Lytechinus pictus: one gene and its partners. The protein of the gene in region 3 purifies or fractionates together with the protein of the main gene of each other region. This does not show direct contact. Links are inferred from orthologs where the notes say so. Each region holds a gene or a part of one and is shown on either strand. Other genes may lie near its edges. The genes, in order: F-box only protein 11-like, cyclin-dependent kinase 20-like and forkhead box protein J1-B-like.

Region 1 (10,967 bases), on a different chromosome or scaffold from region 3:
TTGATTAACTTCAAACGAGAAAAAAGGCCTAGATAGATGTGTTTAATAGCTAAATGTAAGTCAACCACACACATGTACAATGGTGCCTACAAGACAAGTATGGTAAAATTGATATTTTTACTGGTAATATTGATATCAAGACTTCAAAACAAGTGAAAGAAATGTTTACTTCTAAATCAATTATACTTGGCTCTGAATTGAATTAATTATCAACTTACATGTATTACATCTAGGCCTAATAACTAGTACAGATTGAAATTAAAGATATGCCAGTATTTTCCCACCACAAGTCTACACTTATTTTTTTCTTTCACACAAATACTGTAGCCTATTAATTCGAAAAATTTACCCAATACTGTACTTTTTTAAATATGGAAAAAAAATCTCAAGGATTTTAAATATATTTGCTTTTGCAAAATAAAACCAAGTTTTAAACATACTAATAGTGCTTTAATATACATCGATGTTTATCAACAAGTATTAGTGATCGGGAAGGGTATTATTTATAAGAGGTATGTACATTTAGCCTAGGTAGGACATGGCAAAGCACTATAGGCCTATAAATGATAACAGTATGTAGATTTAATAGCCACACACAGGCAGGTGTAGGTGGGACTAGACACAAAGAAAGCTCAGCAAGTGTAACTAACTGAATAGCACTTATGTAGATTGGCTTCCTAATCAACATTCACACATGAGTTTCACTGCTTCACTCCAATCAGGACAAAGGATGCTATTACCGTGAATCAATGACAAAGGCATGTAGCCTACATATTGTCGGTGTTCGTCCAAACCGTCATATCAGTCAATTTTGGTTTTAAAAAATGATTTTGAGATTTTTGCAGGTAATACAAATCCTAAAGTATAAGTAAATTTCTAGGCAGCAATTTATTTTAGTTTCTGAGATTTTCTCTGAAATGTGTTTCGCACTGTTGTATCACGATACAACGGTTTGGATGACTGCCGCAATATATTTGTACAGTGTAGCTTCACTCATCATATCCTTCTTTTTTTCAGCTTGCCCAGAAGTACCTTTCAAGATGAACTGTTATTTGTTGCTTATGAATATCCACAAATCAACCTGTATATTAAATCATAATTTGTATAATAATATCAATGTGTGGTCATTTCAAGATGACCTTTGATTTGAATATAGGCCTATAATTTTACATGGAGGCCAAAGTGTAAACATGCAACACTGTAAGAAAATGTACATTTTGTACAATATCGCAATTATAGAACAGCATGTCTCCAGATGCTTCCATTTTATTGGAATTCCTTATGAGAGAAGTCTATTGTTGATTTGGGTGGAAGTATTCACTTTTCAAAAGAGAAATGATTGCTATTCATTAGGCTCCTCTGCCTGATCTTAATGCAAAGGTCATTTGACACAAGGGCCAGCTACAAACTACCGCACAGCAACGTTGTTAGCGATGCTCTAACAGAGGCTGTTACAATTGGTATGTGGCAGCGATGCCTAATGTTACAACAATGCATTACGACACATTGAAATAAATGTTTTGACTGCACAATCTGAAAGATGTGACTGGGCTTAGGCCCCCATCACACTTATTCCGAATCAAGCAGAATTGGCCGGAATGAAAGGACTATTGTTCGACCACCAGTTGGTCATTTAAATATACTTCGAACACCATTCGAAAATACCCCTCGAATGTTTTGAACATGACCAAAACCTTCGGGACGGCCAAAAGAAATGACAAAAATATTTCGAAAGCACTCAGAATGCAGTCAGAATATTTAGAAAGCGCCTAGAATGTCCAAGAATGTAGCACGAATTATCAATCTGACTCCATTGCGGTTCATTTTGACTAGTGTATGATGATTCACCTGGTCAATTTACTGAATTTCAACTCCAGTTTGGTGAATTCATAAGTTCCTCCCAAAAATTTCCAGATTTTGGAATATTTTTTTCGTTCTAGCTTCTGCTTCATTCCTGCTGATTCCGAATAAGTGTGCTGGGGGCTTTACTGAAGCACTGGTCTATACTAGGCGTATTTAGACACCCTTGAATCACCAGAGTACCCGTTTAATTACGAGAACCTTTTAAAGCCTTAAAATACCCAATAATTATTTTCCGCATTCACAACGTCCTCAAGAATATCCTTTTTAAGTTCTCGAAGTTACATGTACAAGCATGCCCAATATGGTCCAATAAGCAGGCAAGGCGCGAGATTCAAAATCGCTAGCTCAGCGGCCACCCACGGCGACCGCACCCAACTACACGCTGGGCCAGGGAAGTTCTCATATACCTGCGACCTTGGAAAATAGGAGGAGCTTCTGACATTTGTATCTTATTTTCAATTGACCAGTAGCAAATGTAAATTTCAAATTAAAATTCATACGGCCCTGCACAACATAGGAATAAATTTGTACATTTGAAAAAAAAAATCTTTATTTTCATTCACACTTGGTGTATAAATTTAGAGAATTTATACTGGAGCATGTCAATTACATATGACGTGACAACAGTAAAATATACTTGGCAATGAGGTGCATCAATGCCATGAATGCCTTTCATCACAGCTTTTACAAGTCTATGGACACACAAACATTGACATGTTATAGATTACGATTGGCAACGCTCCCCACCCTTTCTAATATCCTCCATTCTGATGAATTTCAGAGATTAAATCATTCTGAAAATATGACAGATATCGATTCTAAAATCCACTTCTTTTTAATTGCTGAATTGACTCCTCCCACCAATTTGTCTCACTACACTAATAGTAATACATGTAAAAAAATGAGAAAATGAAAATCCATAATTTATTGTTCGAAATAGACATGAAATGAAATAGTCCGAAAATTTGCTTTGCCCAATTGATCGTGGGCCCGGCAGCCGCTGTGCAGCGCCAGATCGACGAGGCTCTATCCCTTTAATCGTTGAACGCCAAACAGGGTAGCAGCAACTCCCATCTTTAGATGTAGATGTATATTAGAATATTTCCAAGTGATAGTAAGTTCTGATGCTGTGTAATGTACATGCACTGAAGTACATCTGCAGAAGTGCATCCTTTTTTATGATTATACCACATTGTGTTTACGTTTGTGCTGTGGTTGTTGGGAACTTATTGAATAAATTTTGTTGGGATTTTGAAATCTATCAACATTGGACTTTTTTCAAAATATATTTCACCTTTGATTACAGATGGAAAATCTATCAACATTGGACTTTTTTCAAAATATATTTCACCTTTGATTACAGATGGAAAACGATAGGAAAATAAACAAAAACAAAATACAAGCATAGCTAGAGCTACACGTATGTATACCAACCAAGTAGGCCTACATGTACATTTACATGTACATGTAGCATCTTCATGTAACCCAACATACATACATGTACATGTACATACCAAGCAACTATCAGGTTTTGTTTACAAATGAATAATTTATGCTTTGAATACATGTATGTACATATTACATGTATAATCAGGGTTTATCCATAATGGACTTACACGCATATTTGACGTACATTAGCGTACACACATATGCAACATGACAGCGTTTTAAAACATGAAAATAATGAAACCATATTCTGGCATACATTAGGGCTTTTGCATGCCATCATTGATACTAAAGCAGAGGTACTAGACAAATTCCCTGTGCACTGGGCCCCCATATATCTGTCACAAATACTCAATGCCGCAAGATCAAAGTTGACTAATACTCTCTCTCTCTCTCTCTGTACATGTCACTATACTCACCCCGAGCAGTTTTCTCTGAAGTAGATGATTTTCCCATTGCATTCCTTCGATGAGTTGATCAAACAAAAACCAAACCTGAGATTGTCAAAAATGTACATGTGTACCCAGTGGCATTATATATGTGCAAGAGGTACGCTGTCATGAGAAGTAATGCATGAAATAGAGAGAAAAATCCAACTCAAAATGGATGAAAGCCAAGCTCGCCGCCGCCGCCGAGTGAGGGAGAGAGAGAGGCAGTCAGCGTGAATACAGGGTTCCTGAACAAGTGCCAGACAGGGTCATATGAGGAGAGTTCCATTTTTTACTTAGAACTCTGTCTCTCTGCCCCTTTCATGTACACCATCGCACCATTCTACATATATATGTATGCAGTAAACCTGTTTTGATTTCAATGAGAGAGGACCAATGGGAACTGAGTGTTTGGAAAGCCTTGAACCTTGTCTGTACTTGGGGAATATCAAGACTTGGAATGATATGTATGGGCAAAAGTAAGCCAAAATACTGAGAATTATATAGGATTTCTAGGAAGGCCTACATGTATACAAATTTCACACGTCAAGTATACTGTATAATGTATGTGGACAATGTTTGCGTAGGAGCAAAACATTACACTGAACAGTCCAGAAAATAAACGCAGGCTACTTTTCACAATCTGCTCCCAAAATCTGGAACATTGGATAAGCTTTAACATTGCAGTGAATGAGGATTTTCTGGGGCTCTCTTGATCATTACGAGGACGAAATCGCCCAAGCCCCCTCGAAACTTTTCCCCTGATACAGTCACACATCAGCAGCAGAGCTCGTTCACGATCAATTATTTATTTCAATAAGTGGCATACCCTTGAATATTTATTCCCTTTTCATACATCTTCAGAAAGTACTTAACCTTGTAATACTCAGAGAATTCGTACGTTGTAATTCAATTTTAAATAAATGCATCTCTTCAACTTTCCAAAGTTAGTAAGGTGTTGACATCTCTTTTTTTTTATTAGTTACAAATATGCCTGATCCAACAGACTAGCGGCAGAAAGACCTTTCATAGCAGAACAACTTGCTTCATTCCATCTTCATGGTCAATATCACGGAAAGTATGTAGGGTCACATAGGGTCACAGGTACAGGGTAAACAAAACACAACCCTGGCTCTTTTCACCAGGCTTTTTACAGCCTCTTCATTCAAATCAAATTGGAATAACAGTAAGGTTCAATTTATTCATGTCCTATATTACTTACTCCTCTCTCTCTCTCTCTCTCTCTTCATAGTCAGATATCCCTCCTCACATGCCTCTCCTGCTTTCTCCTCCTTTCTTGATCCTTTTCTTTATCCGGTCTCCTTCCTTTCTCCTTCGCTTATTTTCATTCTACTTTTCATAATTGTCTATCCCTTATTGTTCAAAATGTAGCTTAAATTTTTTTTCCCCCCCCTGAACTGTCTTCATTTTCTCTGATCTCGAGTTTCAAACTTTGCCACGTTATCCCTGTTCAAGATAAGCCAATTAAGCACAGTAATTACCCTTCTCCCTACAGTATTTCTATCTCATTCATTTTTAGAATCATTTTATAAAGCAATGAAATACCCACCTTTATTCCAATAACTTCACCTGCAGGCCCTTCCATTAAATGTGAATGCCCCTTCATTACAATCAGGCCAATTTTTTTTTTTCAATTTTGCAGTGCTTCTTTCACCAACTACCGTAAGGGCACTAGTATTCAACCCGTTTGGAGAGTTTCTTCAAATATACAGAAATATGGAATTTACCTGAATTTCAGACCTGTCTTATTCCAAGAGCAAATGCTGGTTATTCTTTTCCCGTTATTTTTTTCTTCAACCGTCAACTGCGTGCGCAGGCGATCGAATTTTACGGCGACGGTTTTGGTACTAGTATTCAATCCGTCGATACTAGTATTCAACCTAGTGATGAAAGATGGCCCTGTCTTTCAATCTGCCCTTGTCCCATCCGACTATGGACTAGACCATTTGAGATGAGATCAAACAGGGAATTAATCAAAGCCAGAGACTTCCATAGATCTAGATCTAATTTAGCAATCTAAACCCTTTTGAAATTTGCTTTCAATCCTCACTAGGTTGAATACTAGTGCCATTCAGTGCAAAAGGCCATCGCCGCATAATTCGATCCTCCGCGCATACAGTCGACAGATTGATAAAGAAAATACCGACGATAGATTACCCTGGAAATAACAAAGGTATGAAATTAAGGTAAATTCCCTATTTCTAAATATTTTGGGGAATATGTCAAAATCTTTGAATTATGCCGGGTTGAATACTAGTGCCCATACGGTACTGCCTAAATATGCAACAAAAAAAGATAAACTTTACATGTAGCATTGCAGTGAATGGGGGATTTCCTGGGAATCTTTCAAGCACTTTGGGGGCAAAACCTCCCTGGACCCTATTTTATTTTTTCCCTAGGTGGTTTCAGACTGCCTCGAAGTTCGTCAGTTCCAGGTATTCTCTGATCGGGAAATTTACCCCGATCAGAAAATACCAGGTATTTTGGTAATGTGAAAGCAAACTACGCGTAATTTCCCCGAAAGAAAATACCCGCTAAATAGTAGGTACTTGGCGAAATTACGAGAACTTTCGCGGGGATTTTTCCAAGGTCGCAGGTATTTTGGCGATGTGAAAGCAAATTACGGGAACTTTTAGCCCAGCGTGTCGTTGGGTGCGGCGCCGTGGGTGGCTGCTGGGCTAGTAGTTTTGAATCTCGCGCCTTGCCTGCTTATTAGACCATACTGCGCATGCTCCTAACTTCAGGAATTTATCCCGAAGTGTATGTTTCGGGGCGGTCTGAATGCAGGAATAATTAACGGGTATTTTTTAGCCTAAAAATGTTCTCGTAATTTAACGGGGATTCTTGTGATCGAGGCGGTTTGAAACCACCTCCTGATTACATTAAAATATCCATATTTTATCTTTCCTTCTGTCTTCTTCTGCATATATCTAAAGAGTTTTTTCAAAGCAAGCCATGGTGTTTTCATACTGTGCAAATCTTTTTTTAAATATCATTATCATTAAATCTGGCTTTCTAGATTGTATTTTCATATTCACCATTTTCTAATGATTTTACTTTATTCTTCAGTCGAAGGCTGAAATTATACCAATACAAACAATTCCATTCAACGATACATGCCTAAAACTACAAATGGGTAAAAAGTATAACCACTGTAAATGTAGGCACAATACTGCACACAGACATATGTTGTATATCCTGACATTTTAGACAATATACATGTACTACATGTACATATATAGAAGGAGTGTCTTATAAAATGTCTGCTGAAATATACCTGTTCTTTATCCTGACGACATGTTTTGCACAAGGAGTACATTGAAGGCACAATCTGTTCATACATAGGTTGACCCTGGAGGGAAGGAATTTAGGCAAGGATCTGCATGTCATGATGAGTCAAGGGGTGAACTTTACAACCCTCTTAGTTTAATGACTAGAATTTGCATTTTACTGGCTCATGCCATCTTGCAAAAAAAAATGTCTGAATATAATCTAAACGATAGCTGTATCTTTAAAGGGAAGCTACTCTTGTGGAAAAGATTGAATCAATAATTGAGGTTTTCAAATTCTAGTATATCTATATGGAAAATGTTAAGACTATTATAGGAGAAGGGTTCGATTCAAATAATTATTTCTAAGATGCCCTTATATTCAAGCTATGGCTTAAAGGGGCTGAAGTATTTGGGCCAAACATTTGTGTGTCCTATTGCTATTGAGTATTTTTAGTGACAATTTTAAAGAACAAACGCTCAACGGCAATACCCTAAAATTCATCCAAGACTTTATTCAATTTTTTTTTTCAAAAAGGAGCTTAAAAGCATAGGTCTACATCAGAGATTCTGATGAATCCAAAAGATATACATGCCTGCAGAAATGACAATCCCACGTAAATTTACAAGATTAGATTGTCATCTTGTCCCAGACTCCCATACAGGCCAACGTGTATATCGAAATCAAATTCAAGAAATAGATCTCTCAGAGTCAAGAAAGAAGGGAATATTTATAATTTACGTGGTAGTTAATGACTAAAATCAAACTAACATTGGCATTTGATACCAAATATATTCTTTAAGTTAAGGCAGACCTCGGCCTATTTTAGAATACTGTACTAGAATATATGATAATGTACATACATTACACACATGCACTTGTATTCAGGAGATCATGAAGTGGAGAAAAATCCACCAAATGTATGTCAGTATGACTTCCTTCTTACAGAAATACATTCTTCACACGGACATGTTACAGAATACATAAGGCTATAACTCTCGGATCCTCTATCAGCCTTGATCCTGTATTATCTTGACAGTTTGTTGCCTAGCTATACATTTCCCATTAGCCCCACAGAGGCTGTACCACAAATTACAGAGGATATTATACTCGGGCGCCAATATGGCCAGTTTCCTGCCAACGCACACAGAATCACTGCAAAATGTGGATCCCTGCCGAAAAAAGAGACATTTCAAACATACTTCACAGGGTATACTGCTTGAAGAATACTGTAAAGGGACTTTAAAATGTTGAAAGGCTTTTAAAAATTGCACTGAAGTAATGTACATGTATTTGCTTCTGTATGTATATCAAATTAACTATATGTATTATGCCTCTCTTGGAAAAGATTTTATAAGTAGTAGTACTACCAAATAGTAATAGCAGCAGCAGCAGCAGTAGTAGAAGTTATAGTAGTAGTAGTAGTAGTAGTAGTAGCAGTAGTAGTAGTAGTAGTAGTAGTAGTAGTAGAAGTAGTTGTAGTAGTAGTCATAGTAGTATAGCAGTAGAAGCAGCAGAAGTAGTAGTAGTAGTAGTAGTAGTAGTAGTAGTAGTAGTAGTAGTAGTAGTAGTAGTAGTAGTAGTATAAGTACATGTAGTAGTAGTAGTAGTAGTAGTAGTAGTAGTAGTAGTAGTAGTAGTAGTAGTAGTAGTAGTAGTAGTAGTAGTAGTAGTAGTAGTAGTAGTAGTAGGAGTAGTAGGAGTAGCAGTAGTAGAAGTAGTAGTAATAGGAGTAGTAGTAGTAGTAGTAGTAGTAGTAGTAGTAGTAGTAGTAGTAGTAGTAGTAGTAGTAGTAGTAGTAGTAGTAGAAGTAGTAGTAGTAAGTAGTAGTAGTAGTGGTGGTGGTGGTGGTGGTGGTGGTGGTGGTGGTGGTGGTGGTGGTAAACTGCCGATTCGTCCATTGCCAACTTGTCCACTCATCACATGGTCTACCTTTAGTCATTCTAATGCCATTCCGTCCAACAGTTCTTCTCACAACCATTTGGTAGAATAATCACTTTGTCTTATCACCACTTCATCTATGGCCATTTCGTCTAATACCCATTTTCTTTACATTTATTTCGCCCAGTTAACACTTATCCAATCCAATTAGACCAAATGGTTTATGGACTAAATATCTAATGGACCAACTGGTTAATATATGAAATGGTGAGTGGATGAAATGGCACTTAGACCATGTGGATAGTGGACAAATTGATGAGAGACCAAATGAGAGTAGACGAGTTGGTAATTAGACGAATTGGCATTAGACCAATTGGAAATAAACCCATGTACATGTAGTAGTAGGAGGAAGGGATAGTAGTAGGGACAGTGATTTTCCGCGATCGCGGAAAACGGACGGAATTCACGGAAAGGGCCTTTTGAAACGGAAAGTGGCATTTCAAACGGAAAATCACAGAAAACATATTTTTCCTCAAAATACACAGAACAGCGACAGAAATTACTCCAAAATCTCTACAAAATATGAATATTAAATGGCCACAAAACCCCAGAAAACACGATCTCACTTCGCTACAATCATAACAATTCACACATCGTGACTGCACTCGACTTCATCACTCGACCGTACCCCTCGCCCGTCCCCGTATCCGGCCGAGCGCCGGGCAGGGTTGGGCTTTTAAAAAACATTCACATGCACACATCATTTGAACAACAAGGTCGTGTGTTGCTGCCCTCTACGTTTGAAGATGTAACAGCGCACAATATCGAGATCTTGAAATCCAAAATGGCGGATAGGCGAAAATCGTTGACTGCTGAAAACGATGTCCAAAAAAAAACCCCCAAAATTATCGATGAAATTTCATTTAAGTGTGAAATAATGCTAATAATGTGAAAGGTGAGGATGTATTCATGTTAAATGTGTTTGTCAAAACATTTTGTGTAGCTGCATAGATCCGATTAAAGCGGATTCATTTGCGTTGTTGGTACAGTGGCAGATACAAATTTTGACCAGGGCGAGTGTTGTGATATTGCTATTCAATGGGTAAACGGAATTGTCACTTTTTAATGTACACAAAGTCTATGGGGAAACAGAATTTCCGTTTTCTGACATGCTGAAACGGAATTTACGATTTTCTAAAACGGAAAAGGCAATTTTTTGAAACGGAAAATCACTGTCCCTACAGTAGTCATAGTACACTGTAGTAATATAGTAATACTAGTATAGGCCTAGTAGCAGTAGTAGTTGTAGCACTAGCAGTATGTAGCAGCATTGGGGGGGGGGGCACTTCCATTGACCATGGCGTTTCGAAAAGCACCCTAAACAAATATTTTCCATATTCTGAAAAAGTACCCCTTAACAAGTATTGGCATGTGAAACCCTATGCTTAACAAGTATTGGAAACAAAACGGTACCGTTGACAACTATTCCATGAATTGACCCCCTAAACAAGTACAGCGATATTTTTATTATGTCACAGTGACAGACGTGATCATGGAAGTCGGCTTTACCTTTACTTACATTGGTTTTAGTACAGCCCGTTCTCCCACACCTCGCTCATATCGGACCCTAAACACGTAATGTTGGGGCAAAAAGTACATCCTTTATAAAGCATTTGTCTTTTTATAACATCGAATATTTGACCGTAAACACAGAGCTTTCCTAGCGAAATATACTTTTTTTCAGTATTTTAATGTTTTTTACACTCTTATTACTTTACGTACGTAATGTGCCCAATCTTGAAAAAGAGATCCTTTTTACACGTTTCTTTGGTCGCGACTGGTATCCACTCGTCAATGGAAGTGACCCCCCTGGGCAGCAGCAGCAGCAGGAGTAGTAGATATGCAATCAGGCTGATCTAATCTAATCAAGATGGAAAGTGCTCTAAACAAGTCTCATGTATTATTATCATCATTATTATTATCATTACTACTATTATTATTACTATTACTATTATTATTATTATTATCTATTTAAGGAGAATCACATATCTATTCTTT
Region 2 (10,399 bases), on a different chromosome or scaffold from region 3:
ACATTCATATGATAATAAAATATTATGACCATTGACCCAAAATTACCTTTGACCATGATCATGTGATCTAAGATGTGTGCAAAACAATCATTTATACTTGATTACCCTTACATGTATGTCTATGTTTCATGAATTAGATTCATAAACTTTGTAAGTTTTGATGCCAATTCAACAAATACCCCCAACATGGCCAATGTTCATTGACCCTAAATGACCTTTGACCTTGGTCATGTGACCTGAAAATTGCAAAGGATGTTCAGCTAAATTACCTTTGACCTTGGTCATGTGACCTGAAACTTGGGCATGATGTTAAGTAATACTTCACTACCTCTATTTCATGCACTAGGTCCATATACTTTCTAAGTTATGATGACATTTCAAAAACTTAACCTTAGGTTAAGATTTTGATATTGATTCCCCAAAAGTTCATTGACCCTGAATGACTTTTGACCTTGGTCATGTGACCTGAAAACAGGACAGGATGTTCAGTAATACTTGATTACCCTTATGTCCGAGTTTCATGAACTAGGTCCATATACTTTCTAAGTTGTGTCATTTCAAAAACTTAACCTTACCTTAGGTTAAGATTTGATGTTGATGCCGCCACCGCCATTGGAAAAGCGGCGCCTATAGTCTCGCTCTGCTATGCACACGAGACAACAAAAAAAACCTCCTTTCAGGCTCACTCTTAATACATGCATATCATCCTCAAGAACTGAACCACCTTATTATTTCACCACACACAAGTTACTGAGGACAAGATCAACCATAAACACTGGATAAGGTGGCTTGTCAAATTTAATTCTTTAGTTTTTTTTTATTACAAAGAGAGTTTATGGGCCATGTTTTTTTTATTCCCACAACACTTTCATCAACACAGTGCCCCACAAATAAGCTCAAAATTTTAATTCAAACACTCCGACTCTTTCATTTTCAGTCTGTGGTAAATTAGAAATATTCTCATAATAATGAAAGAAATAAACAGTTCATAAATGAATTTTATTGATTATTTTTTGTTAAATAAGTGATATTTCAAACACAGAATGGGTAGCTGCAGTGCAGACAGTGCCAGACAGACACTTCACTCCGGGGGGGGGGGGGGGGGGGGCACTCAGTATATGATGCATAGTGGGTATATGCCGCGGAGGGGACCCCCATTTTTACACTCAAATTTCCGTTCCAAGGCATAGCATTTTTGTCTTATTGAGAAAAAGAACAAAGAAAGCCGCTCCAAAGTATAGCATTTTCTTCTTATCGAGAAAAAAGAAGAAATCCGCTCCACAGCTTCGCATATTTTCCGTTACGACGTTCCAGCCGTATTGATCTGCTACAATGAGCCGCAATTTGGGTGAAAAGCGGCCGCAGAGCGCTGTCCAACCATCGCATCTGCGCTAGCGCACCCGGCGCCAGTGCCGCCGGGCTAGCTGCATGCACGTCCATAGGGATTAATACGCAATCACACGCAGGCGACCCGTTTCAAGGACCCCCGTTTTCACAAACATTTGTCGTTCCGAAGCCCGTTCCCAGGACCCTCCTTTTTACAATAAGCCCGCTCCAAGGCCCCCGTTTTTTGTATCGCCCGCAGCACATACCCACTACTTTTTTGGTCGAGTGCCCCCCCCCCCGGGCTTCACTCTAGGGTCGTTGGAATCTCAATAAGGTTGAAGAAAGCTCAGCTGCCAGAGTAGTCAGACTTTCAACCACCAATGTAAATACAAATACATAGATATTTATTCAAAAATTTTACCTGTAATGCAATAAAGTGCCCAAATATCAGATACTTAAAGACCAAAACAAAAATACAATAATTGGATCAAATAAAAATTATGTGTATTTCTGTGGTACAAATGTTGAATATTAAGCGGCGGCTTAGCTCAGATTTAAGAAACAGGGTCGCAGAAAACTGCGCCAAAAATGTGAAGAAATCCTTGGTTCTGTTCCGAGTACGATAACTTTCTCGCAAATTTAGGATCGTATCTTCAAAATTTCCAATCAAAAAAGAAAGTAAGAAGAAAATTCAACGGTATCAAAATTGCACAGAAATCAAGTCATGGCATGCTTGCAGGTCGCCTTCATTCGACAGGGGCGCGGGCCCCGATTGCAATGCAGGAGCGAATGACCGCTGCAACTTTTAGGTTGCCCATCGCATGCGGTGCAGCGCAATTCAGCGGCTCTCACATGTATTGATTATTGAACGCGTGATGTGCTATGTCGAGCGAATGGCAGGGCCAGGCAGAATTCGGGGCAAGAACCGTGTTTGGCAGTGGTGAGTGGATTTCTAACTAGTGGGTCGCGCGTGCTGCAACGCCACTGGAGACCTTTCGTTTTCTGTGACGAGCCATGTGGACGTACAAGATTAAGGAATTTTGGGAGCGCTGCGTATGCGCGAAGTAATCTGTGACGAGCCTCCTCGTTCACTGCCCAAATCTGTGACTCGTATTTGAGGGTTTTGACGTTCAGTGTCATAGTGCTCGAACGAGTGCTAGTTCGTACATGATGACGTCATCCAGGCTTAGCAAAAATGAATGAAGCCGCATCAACATTCAAGTTTCGTTGATTCAGCAGGGCTGGTAAACTGCAAATTACTGCTTGTTACCAGCTTTTCCATTACATTTAGTGTGTCCTGTTTTCAGACACTACATATCCGACGATAGGTAATTGATGTTCTGTTTCCAAACAACTGTGTTTTTTCGGCTTTTTGCGCACGAGTACAAATGTTGCACCCACAGTCGCCCCACTGGTTCGTAGCGTGATGCTACGCCTGATTCTCCGGCCGAGCATCGGCCCACGGCCCGCTCGCTATCACGCTGGTATATGCTGTGGCCTGGTACGGGTATGTCGACTTAAAATCGAAACTGTTTTTAGGGTGTCTGAAGCCACACTGAAAAGTGTCAGCATAAAACAGGCTGATTTAGGGGAAAATATGGCACATTTTTTCGGGGAAGTTCAGGCTACTAGAAAAATGTGATCTGAATTGATTATTAACTTGTGTTTGGCATGTATGGGAAGAGAAAATTCAGGGGCTTCTTTTGACAGTAAGGACAAGTTTATATGATTATTTTAAATAAGGATTTAGAGATAAATTGCAAACCCTTATTTTTGTGTGTGTTGAGATTGCCATTTCTCCATGCGTTTTCTATGGGAAAATGAAATTTCTGTTTTGCACAATTTTTTTCACTTTGTCGCAATTTTTCATTGTGATCTGGTTTCCAAATCTTTATAAAAATCATACCATCAGATAGAGCATAAAAAATCCTATTGGACTCTTTATGGACAAGTTTTTGGCATTAGTAATAAATTTATAACAGCTCTCGGAAGCTAAAAATTTGGATTTGTGTGTGTCCATTTCTTAACTACACAGTCTATGGCAGAGAAATGCTGAAAATTGACCTAATTTCATTCTTCTTTTTTGCAGCCAATAATTTGATTTTTTTCAAAAATGTTACATTTCTGTCAGTCTGAAGGTAATTTCTCTTCAAATTCACAAAGAAAATGTGATATTTTCTAGAAATAAGAAAAATAATTTTTTTCTCCAGACACCCTACTGTTTTCATCAATACTACAATGTACGAACGTTATACTGAACGAGCGGTGTCACCACTTCCGGTGAACTAGGACTACGTTGCAGTCAATCGAAAGCTCCTTAATTCTGGCATCCACAACAGCAGACTTCTATAACTTGATTTTTTTGTGCGCGGCGGCATGTAATGAACTCTTGATTGGCAGGGGATGTCGAATCTTGGGCCATGAAGCATGCAAAAATGGCGATCGGCCTACATTTCAAGATTTTTGGAATTTGAAATTGAAAATGAACATTGTCATTGCCATTGGCATTGCATATTATTTATTAACATAAGACAAATAATAGGGTCTATATTTAACAAACCTTGGTCCAAATATCATTTTGTGAAAAGAAATTTTAGAATGAAAAATATTGCAGAAAAGCTTAACATGTCGAATATTGGGCACGTAACGTTACTCTACATTGAGACTACATAAATTTTTAAAGGGCATACAAATGACTACACAGATTAAACTTGTATGTGGGAACACGTTTAACTTGTAACACTAACAACCGATATACAAATCCCCAGCATGCAGCATAATCATAATGTCAGAATGACTACCCTGTGCTGTATATGCCTCTTTATGAGTAAAGATAGAGAGAATATTCGGGAGATCAAATTAAACTATAAGTGAAGAAACGACGACAAAACATCTGACTTACATTTTTGTTTACGAATTACGCGACGCCAAGCATCAGTTCTCTAATTCAGCGAACGTAGAGGGCTTATGGCATCATCAATTTCTCGGGGTGGGATCACTGATGTGGCCGGGGGATTTTTTTTTCTTCTTTTTTCTTTCTTTCTTTCTTTTTTTGTCAGTACTTGTGCACCCTTTGCGAGAGGGCAGTCCATGGAATAACGATAACTACGTGGGTTTTTTTTTTACTCAGACTACTCCTCGTGAATATTCATGAATACGAACCGTTAGGATTATCGTAATTTCCGACCCATTGATCAGTTCGATTCAATTTATTATTTGTAGTTGAATTCACGGACGCAGGTTCGCGAACGATTTTTCATATAAATTTTCTTCAAATTGAAAATTGAGGAAAGACTCTGAAAAAAAATACAAGTCCAAGATGTAATCAGATTAAAAGCCTCATATCTACATTCCATTCACACTGCATGCCCTTTTTCATGTCAGGTGCACATACCGTACTGACGGAGAAAATCACGGGCCGGGGGGGGGGGGGGGTCTCCGACTTCCGATCCCTGTCAATGTATGTCAAAGAAAAAAAAACCAGTCGAATAAGGGACCGATTTCCTACCAATTGGGTTTATTTTTAGTCTTATACATTCATTCTTTTTACGATGATTTCCCACTCATTCTAACGCTCTCTCTCCCTCTCTCACACACACTCTTGGCCTTCTCCTACTCCTAGCCGAGCACGGGATCTCAGAATATCTTTACCGTAAATCTTTTTATTGATAGAATATCCCGGCCTATATCCTAACTATAAAATGATGCACCTTTTCGGCTGATTATGATACTATTTTCACTGTACACACGATGCATCGCCAAAACAGTGGAAAACAACTCTTTCCATGGCCTTTATGTGTATTTGTAAACGGGCATGCGGTCTCACCTTCCAAGTGCCCCCCCCCCCCTTAGTAAAAGTTGCTTTTAAAGGGGTACTCAGGGCTGAAAATATTTATATAAAAAATAGAGTAAAATTCACAAAGCAAAATGTTGAAAATTTCATCAATAAGTCGGATAACAGATAACGAAGTTATTTAATTTTAAAATTAAGCATTATTTTGTGAAAATAGTTGGATGCACGTCATCATGAATATTCATTAGGTGGACTGATGATGTCACATCCCCACTTTCCCTTTTCTTATTTTATTACATGAAATCATAATTGTTTAATTTTGTCAAACATGTGTAAATAATGTGTCTCCTCTATAATTGAATAATAAGTTGCAGCAATGAATTTAATGCACTAAATCAGTTGTCAATCCATATTTATCAGTTCTTGGTATTATAGAAAAAAATTGAATAAACTAAATTTCATATAATAAGATACAAAAGAACAAGTGGGGGACATGACATCATCAATTTGCTCATTGAATATTCATGAAGACATGTCTAGAATTGTTTCACCGGAATAATGCCAATCTTTAAAGGGATGGTCCAGGCTGAAATGTTTATATCTAGATAAAAAAAAAGTAAAATTCACAAAGCAAAATGCTGAAAATTGTATCAAAATCGTGTAAATGATGTGTTTCCAGTATGAGAAAATAAGTTGCGGCAATAAATAAATAATGCACATAATCAGTTGTCAATAAACCTATTTTCATATAATAAAATACAAAAGAACAAGTGGGGATATGACATCATCATCCCACCTAATGAATATTCATAAAGATGTGCTGAGAACTGTCTCACCGGAATAATGCAAAGTCTTTAAATTTCAATAACTTTGTTATCTGTAATCCGATTTTGATCAAATTTTCAGCATTTTGCTATGTGAATTTTACTATATTGATTGAGATATAAATATCTCCAGCCTGGACCATCCCTTTAAAATGCCAGAACTTTGTTATTCCTTGACCGATTTCAATCAATTTTTTTGTGTTTTGTTTGTCTGATTTTTCTTTATCTGTTTAAATCATATTATTTTCAGCCTGGAGCATCCCTTTAATAAAGCAGAAAAAAAATAAAGAAAAAAGAATGAATATTTAAAGTTCTGAGTTTATGACGTCATAGACTGAGCACCTTTCGTGTGATCCAAATTCCAAAAATGCCATTTAAAAAAAAAGAGAGAAAAAAAATTAATTAAGGGGGTGGATACATCATCCGAAACATTATGCTTAAATAGTTTGAATAAAGCGTGACATTTTTAACTTGAACAAAAAATTCAAGGAAAATGTCCTCTCGCTTCATTATTTCTGAAATTGAAAAAGTCCTGAAATCTTGATTATCCTTTTTTTTTACCAAACTTTTTTTTAATTTGTTACAATTGTGTTTTTGGGTTTCTGTTTTTCTGTTTTGATTTTGTTTTTGTTCGTTTCATCCCCCTCTTTGGTTTTGTATATAGATTTTTGTTTTACTTAGTTTACTTTGTTATGATTTCTTATTCTTTGTATTGTTTGTATATTGCACGGCCTCTCTGAAAACCAGCCATTGGATGATCGAGGGCTTTTTACCGTGTATAAATAAATCAAATCAAACATTAGTTTATACCCCCTTCTATTGGAAAAAATATTTTTAACCCATCATTTTCCATTAAAAAATAATTTACATAACATGATATACGGATGAGCTGCTCACATATGACGTCACGAAATAAAAATTCAAAAAAATTCATTCCTCTCTTATTCCTAATGGATGTTTTTCGAAGATATACTTGTTTTTCTTTAATTTTCCTGCTCTTATAAAACCAACATATCGCCAAGTTGCACGTTCTCTTCACAAGTACTCTATTGCACATGATGCAACATAATTTTTTTTGGTAAAGAATTAAGTTAGAATTAAACACAGAACAATGGTTACCACATCATCGACGTATTTTTTATTGATTTATCTTATTAATGAAAAGCTTCACATACAAACATTATTACTGCTTTATTCATCTTTTATGTTTGTATGTTTGTTTTTCATTTAATTATTCATGTATTTATTTATTTATCTGTCTATTCAGTTATTTATTCAATAATCTATTCATTCGTTCATTTATTTCTATTACATTTTAAACCTCAAACAAATAAAAATCGATCATGGATTTCTCATTCAAACAAATCTGAATATTTAGTATATTAACTCCTGTTGATTCCAAGAAAGCATTTTCATCGGCATTTTGATGTTTCATAAGTTTTCAGATCTGACAAATTTCTTGATTTTGATTGGCTGAGAAATTGAGAAGCACTGTTGCTATGGCAACTGTCGGATGAAATGGGATTTGTCCTTTCATCAAACACTACGTCGAACAAAAATTTTGAGTGTATATTCCGTTCATGATTATACTGAATTGAATATAATACCAATGCTTACTCTCACGTACACTTATATAAAACATTATTATGAACTATAAACATTTGGTAATTGTATCTAAAATAAATGTAAAATGCTAATGGAGGGTAGCCCAATATAGTAGTACATCATGTCCTTATTAAAGATCAAGAATAACAAGAACCAGGCCCGGCAACCTATTAGGTTGGTCGGCATGTTAAATTTACATTATTACATGATACATAAATCAGAGTACATTATACATTATAATCATAATACATTATTATATTACTATTCGATACAGTAATATAATGATTATAACCTTAAATATCTAAAATATATTACAAATAAATTCAAACAATTACGATGGATGCATTCACATGGTACACAGTAAGATAGAGAGAGATAATGAGAGATAGAGGGAAAGAAGAAGTGAGAGAGGGGAAGAGTAAAATAAACGAAAAAGAATTAGATAGATAGGATCGAGGAAGAGAGAATTGGAAAAATACATTATACAATAATATGCTATATGGAATAGTCAAAACGAGCAATATCGAGCAGTAGGGTAGAAAGAGAGATAGAAGATATATACATATATATAGAGAGAGAGAGAGAGAGAGAGAGAGACTGAGTTTGGGTAGACATGGTAGAAGTGAGGGGAGGTAGAAAATGGAACAATACTACCGTAACTTGTATACGAACATGATGGTATGTTGGGTTCAATGACAGATTTAAATATGCGTTATTATAATCAGATTGGTAAGTTATATGCTAAGGAACAGCAAATTCCTTATCATAGCATAAACAATAATTTAAAGTGAATCACAATATTTGTACATCACATTCTACTTATTTCTGATACAGACAATTGCAGTCATCTTCAACGAACGTATTCACCCTATTTACAGAAAATGCATCTTCATTATTTACAAAATCTTTATGCAGAAATTGTTTGTTTTGGCAGTAGGCCTATCTATATATATCTAATGAACTATATTCTTACATTATTTGTTGATAAAGTGCTAAATATTTTGCGAGTGGGGATGTTTTCATATCACATGATAGATAATTTTATAAAGTTTAGAGCCAGAAAATGAAATTGATTGTTTCCAAAAATTTGGAATTCAATTCGATATACATAAGTTTGAAAATAATGACCATTATTCTGAACTCTGCATGTTATACCTCGGTCACATTCAGGGGCCGCGGAAGCGGGGGGGGGGGGGGGGGGGGCTTCAGCCCCCCCACTTTTTTCCAAAATCGTGTACAAAAACACAAAAATGACCATACGATTGTGATTTTGTACATGGTCAGCCCCCCACTTTTGGCTCAGCCCCCCCACTTTGAAAACCGTTCAGCGGCCCCTGACATTTGCTCTACGGCGGCCATACGGCGAGTCGAAAACAGCCGTTTTATTAATTTTTATGGAAACCACTATATAGCTGGTACTAAAAATGTCAAAACTGCTGTTTTCGACTCGCCGTTAGGGCCGCCATAGAGTAAATGTGACCGAGGTATTAAACTATTGAACTGAAGGTGTTTGCATTTACGGCCCATAAATTTTATATTTTGTCAAGGAATAGTTCGTGATCTTTTTTAATCTTCACTCCTGTAGGCCTAACTTTCAATCCTGAAAGGTAATAGTGAGAAATGTAAAAAAAAGTTAAAGGTAGATTAAAAGATTCAAAATGAGGTCACTAAGACTATGTAAATTTCAAATTGGCAATTTGGTAAATGAATTATAAAACAAGTGAGAGGGACAACTTAGGCTGCACGTGATTTTCTCATAGTTATAATAATGATAACGGATCTCGCTATTTTCATTTCATTTCCCTTTTTTTTTTTTTAAATGGCGTTATGCTCAAGATGTCATTTTATTTTGTTTTTCTATACTATCTACAAGAATATTTTTTATTAGGAGGCTGCACCCTACAAGCTCTACTTTCTCAGCCACGTCAACCCAACCTGTTTATAATTTTGATTAAAATTATTGTACATAGAAATCCGCTATTATGTTTCCTGCTTTAATTTGTATATCAAATGTCTGAAATAGATTATAAGTGTTGGAAGGGGAATAAACGAAATGAAATTAAATAAAGATTAATTTATTATAAAGCGCATAATACAAAAATATCTCACTATATGCGCTGTGTTATCATTATGTTAATTCCCTTGAAACAGTCCTCAAAATATGAAACATGTAGCATATAATTATTAGTCTATGTCTTCATGAAAGAAAATGTGATTTTAAATAAAAATTTAGACAAAAATACATTTTTAGAGGGAAAATACAAATTTAAGCCAAAAAAGTAAAAAAGGGTGTGAAATAGATAAGTGCTTTTTACCCGCACATGTCTTTAAATTTGAGTAAGAAATAAGAACAATATTGTTAGTCCAGGTATGGATTCTCATTCTTGTCATAGTCTTTTACATGACATATGCATAAGACATGTGTGGATGTGAAAATATCGCATTAAGTTCGGACTGGGGTAATTTGAGCCAGCCAACATGGGGCAAGTTGAGCCATATTCATTATTACGGTATATAATAAAAAACAAACAAACCTTAAAAAGCCATTGCTACGCAGGCAGATAGCAGCAAATTCACATGACAGTTCTTTTACTTTTAGAGGATGTTAGTATTCATAGAGAATTAGCAAGTGAAAAAATTTAAATAAAAAATGCTGGTTCTTCCCGCATACATTTTGTACATAGTTTTTGTAGCTCAACTTACCCCAAAAGGTGGCACAATTTACCCCAAAGATGGGGCAAATTGAGCCATTTGACATCGTTTTTTTCAAAGGTCACAATGACTTTCAGTGTGGGCCGGGGTAGAAAGTTATACAGTGCGTCCCACAAAAAACGAAACCGAGATTTATCGA
Region 3 (10,422 bases):
AGTCATTGTCGAAAGTCGGTGAGTCAAAACAGCAGTGTCATCCTGACTCTGGACAAACTACATATTTGCTTTTTTTGTTCGTCACTAACGACAATCAGCTGTCCCGGTTCACCAATTTTCGACAAAGACCTCTCAGCTGTTCATAGTGATTTAACAGGCATTTCAATAGATTTACTATGCTGTAGAATCCGTCCCCGTTACAATTGCGAAAACAATCGCTCATTACATTTAACAAAATCGTAGTGTATCCAAAAATTGACGGGATAACAGAAGAGTGTTTCATGAACATTAGTGATTTGTCGGACAAAACGCATGGTCGTAATACAAATTTTTGCGCTCCGAAATATTGTCAATTTTGTTTGTTCAATATAGTAGCTCTGAGCCAGTTTTATGGTTTTAAATACTTTCCAATGTTTTTTAAAACTTAAATACATTGCATATCATACGTATTTCAAGTTGTCAACATTATCGACCGCCCTTTCGTTATTTAGGCCATTTTCGGTCACAAATCGATATGTTCGCCCCCCCCCCATATTTTCATGGGTGCCACCGCCCCTTCCCACCCCCCGATCGAGAATATTTAAGAGGTCATTGCCTCCTAAGCAAACCGCGCTATCTTGATCCTTATTCATGCATTTCGCCTATACTTTCCGAAAGTATTGTTTAGCACCATTTTACGACTATCAATCTATGATGTCAGAGCTGTGACAAACAGGATACCAGACGATCTTTCTTTATATAATTGTATTCTTGGAACCATCGATAATTTACCTGTTCTAGTATCCGTAAACATGTTTGTATTGGTAGTATACAGTCTGTGGATCTACTTGTTTTTTATTTTGATTTTTTATTTGACTTATTTTTCTTCGACATAACAATATAATATAACATAAATTTATATTGACAATAAATCAGGCATATAATCACTGAACATAAAATCAGTAGCAGTTTATGGATTGCCATTGCAACCCCCAAAAAACGGTTGAAAATATGACAAACCGAAACATAATTCATTATATAATCATCTTACATGTCTTATGAGCACAATGGATTAATACGAATTACTAAAGTATCAACTAAGTATGAAGAAAGAAAATCAAACAAGCCAACACTTGCTATAATATATAATCAAGAGGAAAAACAATTATAATGAAAATAAAGATGAAGAAGATGATGATGACGACGACGACGATGATGGTGGTGGTGGTAATAATTATGATGATGGAAAAGGAATAGAACACAATTTTGACACAGAAAGTTTACCTTGCATATGACCTTAACTTTAGCTTTGAGTGTATGGAGCAAGAGGATTGTTAAAGGTGATAATGGTGATCGGGGGCAGCCAGGGGCGGATCCAGGATTTCCCAAAGGGTGGGGCAAATTTTTCGGAGAAAATTTTGACAAGCCAAAAAAAAAAATGTCTTCAATTTCAAAAGGGGGGCACATCTCGGTTTCAATGTCATTTTTACATTACATTTCCCCCTGTGCCCCCCTTGATCCGCGCCTGGGGGCAGCGCAAGAATTGTTTGTAATATGGGGCTAGACTTCCACAGTGAGACGTCATACATAATATAGTTACACGGCCCACACTGTTCATATCTTGCTCTCTGAATTTCCTCCTTTATGTCTTGAATACTCGAAAATCACAGGGGGGGGGGTGCGAGTAATCAGGGCGATCACCCCCTGCCCCCACCTGTGAAGCCGCCCCTGATGGCGATGATGGTACAATAATTATAATAGATGTGGTGTCCGAATTGGTTCTGGTGATAGTGCAGACCGTGCAGTATGTTAGACGTTTTGGATATTTTCAAGTTTGAACCTTCGATTGAGACCTGCACGGTCAAGAAATAAATCCTATGCTCACCTGACCTGTTGCCCTGTGAGATGGACCATGGACCTAATACATGGGTGGACCATGGTCCATTGATACCTCTAAAAGATCCATTTCAAAGTCTAATCTGGACATCTCATGTCTGACCTTTCTGTCCACCAAACGTTGATGCGCACTTTGAGTTGGTTTGTCATGGATTTGGATCATTGAACAATTTATTATTGACATGGAGTAAAGACAACGCTCCAAATTAAGAAAGAAAGATAGAAACAAATAAACAAAGAAACCAAACCGAATCCCGTCAGTACACGATGAATCTCAACAGGCCAAGACAAAGCTTCTCAAAGTGGCCAATCGATCCAGTGGGGAGGCCGAGTGGTGAGCCCCTTCCCCCCCCCCCCCCTAAAGAAAAAAGAGAGAGAGAAAAAAAAAGAAAAAGAGCTCAAAGGTCAATAGAACCGATTGGCCCCCAAGAAACGACAGGCAACAAGAAAAAGGGAACTGTAAAAAAAGGGGAACGCGGCAAGTTCCCCCTCCCAATCCGGATCCGCCTCAAGCATCACCATCTGGTATATTTCACTTTATCATGAATTTCAGAACATTCTTCTTTGTGGGAAAAAAATCGAGGTATGCATGAATCACGGATAAAGAGCTCCATTCAAATTCACTGATCTGAATCGAAATGAAACGACATAATCTGGACGTCACTAATTCCCTCTTCATAACACCCTCTTCTTAAACCTCAACAGGTCGATGGGTAAGGAGAAACGTATTGAGAGAAACACAATCCCTCTAAAACGACATACTTAAAAGCATTTTCAACACGTTCAAGATCATTCAATAATCAATAGGCTGACTTGATCCGCTATGTTGAAGCAAACCTATAGAAACGGGTGTCCATTAAAATGCCCTTTTATATGAGCTAAAAAGGAAACATGGAGACACTGCCCTGTCTTAAATTTTTATGCGTTCAAAAAGAATGAAGATAATGGCGGGATTTAAAGTTAACACGCTGGGGACTCCTTTGTATTTTAGAGGTTTTAACTTTTAAGTGACCCAGTTATTGTTACAGTATGTTTTGATTTTGAAGAAGGTGTCAGTTTTCATTAATACGCCATTGATTTTCCCCAGAAGCTCTTTAATCCTTTTATTTTCTCACCTGCATGGATCAAAGACTATGCAATTAAGATTGACGTCTTTCAAGTATAGTCGTTAGTCCTCGAGGAGTACACCCGGGGAGTACGCCTTACAAGGGACTCCGTTTTTTTTCTTCAAAGAGTGCAAAACGCTGTAACTCCTAACCACATTTCTATTTTACCAGGACAGTGTGTCAGAGTGTTGTGAACATGGCTAACACCGAATATGAAAAGGCGGACAGAAAGAGCCTCCTATGATAAAACGTTTCATCTCCCGAAATCTAAAGTGTATTTTTTTATTTAAATATCAATTGCACATTAATGTTGGGAGGAGTATCTGCATTGGGAAAGTGAAAAGGAATGAGAGAGGAAGGGGGGGGGGGGGGGGGGTGACAGAGTGCGCGAATAATATGTCAGTAGCGTAATGAGTAAAATGTGTATGGAGTATGGAGCAAAATTTCTAAAAGGTCACGGCAAGCGAAGCGAACGAGCAAAATGTTTGATAGGTTTAGACAATAAATTTAGAAAATAACACCATATTTTTATATCTTTTACCGGTTTGCTTCTCTTTGATTTTCTTATTCATTTTCTTGGGGTAAAACTTTTTTGGGGCCATGCCCCCAAGAACCCCCCCCCCCATCTATACGCCATACAGTGATTATTGTGCGATGGGAGGAGTTGAATTTACCTTGAGGCTCACATCTCTTTGGGATAAAGAAATCTATAAGAAAAAAGGGCTAATCGAAGAGAAGTCAGATGGTCCGAGGGGTGATGTAGAAAGTGGTCCCTTGAATGATTTTTTTTTTAATAAAACAGATTTAAAAAAAAGGTTGAAAATCAAATGCTTCATTGAAATCAATGAAAGAAAGCCCAGTCTCAACGCCACACCATTACATCTGGGTACTCTACACCCGAGTTAATACCTGCGCGAACTTGACCTTCTTGTTGCCTTTTCGACACCCAATCAATCTCGATGGATTCCTGGCTGAAAGTATCGAACAATGCCAATTCACTGATGAGAAAGGATAAGAGGAATCGCATCGATTGACATTGATGGCCCCGGCATTGACCCGGGACTGTGAGGTCAGTCAACCGATGATAATTAAGGTCAAAGTATTCGGTCTCAAAAGGAGCCTGGGTGATGAGGAAGAAGACGATGGATTAAACACGTATACACAGGTAATATTGGTTTGTTAATTAGGTCAAAGTTTTCGGTCTGAAAATGATATGGGTGAAGAATAAGATGACGGATTAAACACGTATCACCGCTAATATTGGTTTATATTCGCGTGGTCTACACTACCAGTTGGTATAATTTGTCAGATACCACATGACAAAACCTTCATTTGGTCTACTATCAATTTTGCTCTAATTGCCGTTTTGGTCTACACTACATCTGGTCTAATACTACTTGGTCTAATTCTCAATTAGTCTAATGCCCAATTGGTCAAATTTCCATTTCATCCGCTCATACATTTTCATTTACTTTGTCAAAGAAAAATTTGGTCCACAACAGTTGGTGTAACCACATAGGATAATTTGTAATGATGGTATTGATAGTAATGATGATGATGATGATAATAATATTAATAATAATAATGATTATGATAATAATGATGATGATGATAATAATAATGATAATGATACTAGATGATACAACCATTATAATAAAATGATAATATATCACAGATCTGTTTCTGTAAAGACGCAATATTTAGGTAGTGTTGAGCCTATTGAAGTAACACAGTTCATGAATTTGAAATAGTGATAATATTCAACAAGTTACCGTGTAGAATATAGGCCTCCGAAATAGATCGATTTGTCTTAGCAATCAACGCAATATTTTTTTATTACACATTCCAGCATTCTGGCAAACCGGTATATACTTCCACGCAGACAAAATACCAGAAAATAAAGAGCCGATAAATCTCATTAATATCAAGAGGGAATAATTGAATATCTGCCATATGATCTTAAAACTGAAATAAACTTCAGGATCCGCATTTTCTTATATTTGTTCGCCTTCTTCATCAAAAGGCAAGGTCCAATTGAATCAACATGCTGCTATTACACCACATGTACGAATTAAATTAGCCCTATACCAAACACAGATCTTTAATTATTTGTAGACTTCCTTGATTTCTTCTTCGCGTGAAATCTGTCAAACGGAATCAGCAAGTTTCTAGTCGTAGATAATATACGAGAATGAGAAACATTTTCACCATTTAAGGCTACAGCCTACGAGAAATCGCATTAATATTTTAATTTTTCCCCTGTGTAATAAATTTTTCGTTTATGAGATATCAATATCCTTAATGCGAGGTGGATGCAATGATGATGAGATGTAGTTTTCGACGAAAATGTAATTTTATATGTGAAATTATCTCTCCAGGTGCTATAAAATACAGGTTGAGATGCGGTGAACCACTGTCAACGATATTCTATTTTCAAGACCCCTCTGATTCCATCAAATCGTTGACCGCGATCAGATTTTTAACACAAGTTGTAATTCCCCCTTAAATTTTAATAAATTATAAATTTTTCATCATACTGAAAATATGAGATATCTCATTCTCTTGACAATATCCATCATTAGTGCGAAAAGTGATTTGTTTATCTTGGTTTTCAGGAATAGAGGTTGCCCATGCAAGACTAGGCAATCCACCCTGCGAAGCCATATTCTATGCTATACCACGGCGAGTCGACCAATCAGAAGCGCTCATTCGGTTGTTGATCACGATTTACTCTGTTGCTACGTGGCGACGCGATGCTCATTCACATGTTGATGTGTATTTTGATCCGTCGGACTTCAGTCGATCAGCTGTCCGCGTTCGCAATAGGACGCTTCTCGTAAATTCTCTCTCTGGCCAGCATAGCTTGACGTGCAACAGACTAGCCTTGCCTGTATTCCACACAACCTGTTGCACCATCGGGGCAACCACCATAACAAGTTGTTGTTTTGATACCCAGTTTTCTATATACATCGTACCTCATCTGTCAATGTGCCTGGATTTTTGTATCATTGCAATAAAAGGAAGCTATTTTATTTCATTTCATTACTTCACTTGGCTCTACTTCATTTCGGTGAGTTCTTGTATGACTGTGTTTTTATGTAATATTTATTATATTGACACCTAACATTCGTTAACATGTTTTCTATTTATTTTTGTTTACATGTGTTTACTTATTTAATCAATTGTTTCTCTAAGTATTATACCACCCATTTTTATATTGATATCGATGTTTTTCAGCTACATTTGATATTGCCCTTTTATTTCTTTATATATGGGGTTCGACATTTTATATTGAATTTCACATTAAACCATGGCAGAAGTTAAAGGTTTCCTAGATAGCTGGATTTCGTGATTTATATTTTTAGGGGAAGCCCCCGTTTCCATTGGCTTTATTGTGACGTCATTGCCTGGCCTAATATGGGGCCTGTCATGCGCGTACTTCGCGCAAAAAATGCATCTACGCACAAAAACTTCCGCTTTATCGTACGCGCTCAAAATGTAAACAAACTACACGTGCGCGCATCAAGTTTTGCATGAATTTATTCTGTAATTTGGCAATGATGGGCATGATGGCATGGGTTTCTTATCTGACTGACTTAACTCCGTTCTTTGATCTAGGTAATTTATTTTAATTTACATTCTTAAATCAAATCCAAATTAAATGATAATTAATAATGCTCATTATGTTGACATTTATCCACTCTAACGTAAGACAGGCTGGGGTCTGAAAAAATTTAGAAATCCGAATGCCTTAATTGTTGCTAATGCTATTCAGGGGCCGACGAGACATAACTCGAAAATCTAACTTTATTAATTTACTCTCGTAAAACATTTGCTTTATTCTTGATTTGTATTTCCATAAAGTTATCAAGTGTCTTTGGTGTCCATTTTTTACAGGAATTTGTGGGAATTAAATTGAAAATACGTCGACTCACTTGAACAAGAGGTCACAACCCCAATCCAAGATGGCGGCTGCCAAAGTTGCAACCATCACCATCCCCTTGCTCAGCTCCAAGGAGGCTGCTGTGAAATTCAAACAAAACTGGATCACCAAGAGCCAGCCCGTCGAACCCCCAAAGACAGAACCCAAAGAAGACAACCTCGACGACAGTCTCACGAGTCTGAACTGGTTGCAGAACCTCCGGATCATGCGCATCCAGCACCCCACCCCTCCAAGCAGCCCCACCCCGCTCTCCATCCAGAACAGCATCAAGAGTGCCCTGCAGATCCACAAGGGCGGCAATGGCGTCGTCAAGAGCTCGAACTCTCACAAGCACTCGCACTCCGAGATCAAGATCTCGAAGGTTTCGTCGTCACTCAACCACCTCCATCACAACCACCACCACCACCATCTCCATCAAAGTCACCTCCAATTGGACCAAAATACAGACTACAAGACGAACTCGAGCATTAAGCCACCATACTCCTACTCCACCATGATATGGATGGCCATGAAGGAGTCCAAGAAACATAAGATCACTCTGTCATCAATCTACAAATGGATTACGGAGAACTTCAAGTATTACCAAGTTGCAGACCCCAGTTGGCAGGTAAATATTGTGGAAAAGAGTGTTTCTTTTATTTTCTCATAGGATGGGTAGGGCGATGCCCGAATTAGGCAGATAAAAACATCATTTTTTGCTCTGGATTTTCTCTAACTTCATAGTACATTCAGTAGCAAGAATAATTGTGAACATCTCTTTTTATTAATATTCGATTTTCTTTCAATCGAGTTATGGAATATTGATCGCAAAGTTCCTAAACATTGACGTCTTGTCCATACACATAACCCGTCCGGACAAGCTTGATCTATTTGTGAGGTATAGTATTCAAATATGGTTGCAAGGAGTCAAATAAAGGACTTAATATATTTAGTCTTTGGCAAATACTGAATAGATTAAGTCTTTTCTTTAGATGAGTCTTTAACATTTGACTTTTGAGCTCTTGAGACAACGCATTTGTTATCTGAACTCGTAGATCTCAAGCGTAAATATACCTAGATAGAATCTGCCCTCTTTGGGGACTCGTATTCAGCATTGATGCATGTGTGAATAGCATTTTTTAAATACCACTCAACCACTTAACAAAACACATCCTGGAGTTCACGATTACCGTCTTGATCCTGTCAATACCCTGAAAACTTCTTGGAATTCGGGCTGTGGACGGAGGAATACGGGAGAAGAAGGGGAATAATAGACAAGGCGACATACAGGATGTGTCTAGATAGCAGAGTTGAAGGATGGGGTACATGTACCTAGAAAGAAAAGTGGTCAATTTCAGATTTTTGGTTATGAACATGATGTAGCGCATTAGCTACGAGAGAAATAATATATCAATATATCCTGAACGAAGTTTCAAAAGTTCTTTTAAGTGAAAACCTCCGTCACTGCAGTTAATGACACACGTACTAAAATGTGCATCGTGCCCCCCCCCCATCAACCCCCTTCCTACAATTCATGAAATGGCAAAACTTGTAGTTTTTACCATGTTTACCCGCCAAATCCAAAAAGCCTGAAACCGCCAAGCTAGTCAGTCCCCTGCAGTGAGCCTGGCAAGTTTGACCTCTTGGGGTCACAGCCAAGGAATGCAGACTTTTGATGGCGGGTTTATCGGGGGTTTATCTGTCTCGGGCCTCGAGGGTGTAATACCACACCAACCTCCATCCTTCCATCAAGGTCTGGTAGCTCAAGGTCAATGGTGGGTCAGTCTTAGGTCACTTTAAGGTCACCGGGGAGAATTTCTGCTTGGAGAGTGCCGTTTAGTCGTGTGATGTAGGCCTACTGTCAACCTTGCGTATTCCCAAAACTACAACTGAATCTTCCATTGTAAAACTATAAAACTACTTGACCATATATAATCAGAGGTTTTACTTGTAGCCCTACATTAATGAATAATGAATAAGTTTGGACATGCAGGCCATATTCATCTGATATTGGTTTCAATTTGAGAATTTTATCACAATTATTCATAAGTGGACAATTTTTGTTGTCACAAGAAATTGCATATGTACACGAATATTGGATTATATGCACTACTTTGACGGTGAATTTTAACAGAAATATATATATCTATAATTCAAGCTCTCGTGCGGAAGCAAAAAGCTTTTGGAATGGACGACTCTCATTGTGTACTCACACATCTACAGTTCAAATAGCTACAGGGGTGGCTGGCTTTGAAATAAAAGTGAATAAAATATGACTGTTGACGTCAGAAATGGGAGTCTAAAATGATTTATCAAACACTATTACTGGAGATGGCAGGTGAAAGCAACAGGCGAGGGAAATATAAGTTATATTCCATAAAAGGCGCTCGGGGTCATTTTTTGTTAAAACTGACCTTCGACGTGGACTGACCTAGATACTTGCTTGGCCATTACAGATCGTTGTATATCTGTGGAATTTATAGTTGAATATGAGCGCTAACATTAACAAGGACTTGGTATTTCTTTGATAGAATGGGTTTGAAATCGGTTCCAGCGTACAAATCGCTAGAAATTCAAAATGATCACCCTTCCTGGAAAAAGAAATCATTCTATCGTGGCACATGCAGGCCATTTGAATATTCTATTTTGGAGCAATTTTTGCTGGCATGTTGATGATTTAGTGCGATATCAATTACTGTTAATATGGTTTAAATTGTCTTTTTACAAATATAATTAGAGTGAATGTATTCACTTACCCGATGAATTTCGATCACCGATGAAGCATGAAAAATGGTTGGGCTTCGATCAGGTTAAAGGCAACCCTTGGCTTCGTTTGACGTTGACCTGAAGGATGTAACCGGAGATGAAATTGATGAGCAATGTATTATTGACTGCCACAGTTATCTTTTGTCATCTCGCTCACTAGCTCTGTATATGAACCTGTATCGATTCGAACCACTTTCATTGCGAATCATTCGCTATTTCATTTCTTATTATGAATCGAACAGACTTGCCAATGGCTGAAAGGGGGTCTATATTAATACAAAATTATTGATTGCATGTTCAATAATTTGTATATTATACACAAGAGAGTGAGCATGATTATAATTTATAAAGGACTCGTAAGTATGTCGTGTCAGAAATATTGATGTCCCTGACATTCTGGAAACAAAGGGGCAATAAATACCGTGAATAGGAGCATGCTCGGCATTTATGAATCTTGATTATTTCCAATGCTCTATCAATATAATACATGTCTCATAATAACAACAAAGAGGGATACCTGAAAAGGAAAGGTTGTGTATTGGTATTGTTTAATGGATTAGGGGAGTCCATGCGATATTATGATGGCAATTTCTAATGAAATGGAAGAACTTGGAATGAAATAACTGTTCGCCCTTTTCAGTGCATTTGGAAAGATAAATTTAAGGACCCCATTGGAAATAAGCCATCTCGGCTTTCATGGGTTATCCTGTCAAGGTATACACTTCTGTTCATATTTTCTTGTACTTGTTCATA

Evidence for each region.
Region 1: the proteins of forkhead box protein J1-B-like (region 3) and F-box only protein 11-like purify together in Homo sapiens (affinity purification with mass spectrometry; 3 studies listed by BioGRID and IntAct, counting the BioPlex papers as one, with this or other methods). This does not show direct contact. The link is inferred for Lytechinus pictus from reciprocal best matches to the Homo sapiens genes FOXJ1 and FBXO11.
Region 2: the proteins of forkhead box protein J1-B-like (region 3) and cyclin-dependent kinase 20-like purify together in Homo sapiens (affinity purification with mass spectrometry; 3 studies listed by BioGRID and IntAct, counting the BioPlex papers as one, with this or other methods). This does not show direct contact. The link is inferred for Lytechinus pictus from reciprocal best matches to the Homo sapiens genes FOXJ1 and CDK20.

The regions. Positions count from the first base shown.
Region 1 is NC_087251.1:42,373,165-42,384,131, forward strand, and holds the start of F-box only protein 11-like, read right to left. Parts: upstream 4,113-10,967; 5' UTR 3,766-4,112; coding exon 3,729-3,765; intron 1-3,728. UniProt on the Homo sapiens protein: Substrate recognition component of a SCF (SKP1-CUL1-F-box protein) E3 ubiquitin-protein ligase complex which mediates the ubiquitination and subsequent proteasomal degradation of target proteins, such as DTL/CDT2, BCL6, SNAI1 and PRDM1/BLIMP1.
Region 2 is NC_087247.1:23,735,833-23,746,231, forward strand, and holds the start of cyclin-dependent kinase 20-like, read right to left. Parts: upstream 4,290-10,399; 5' UTR 4,229-4,289; intron 1-4,228. UniProt on the Homo sapiens protein: Required for high-level Shh responses in the developing neural tube.
Region 3 is NC_087254.1:9,476,531-9,486,952, forward strand, and holds the start of forkhead box protein J1-B-like, read left to right. Parts: upstream 1-5,679; 5' UTR 5,680-6,051; intron 6,052-6,878; 5' UTR 6,879-6,946; coding exon 6,947-7,531; intron 7,532-10,422. UniProt on the Homo sapiens protein: Transcription factor specifically required for the formation of motile cilia. Acts by activating transcription of genes that mediate assembly of motile cilia, such as CFAP157.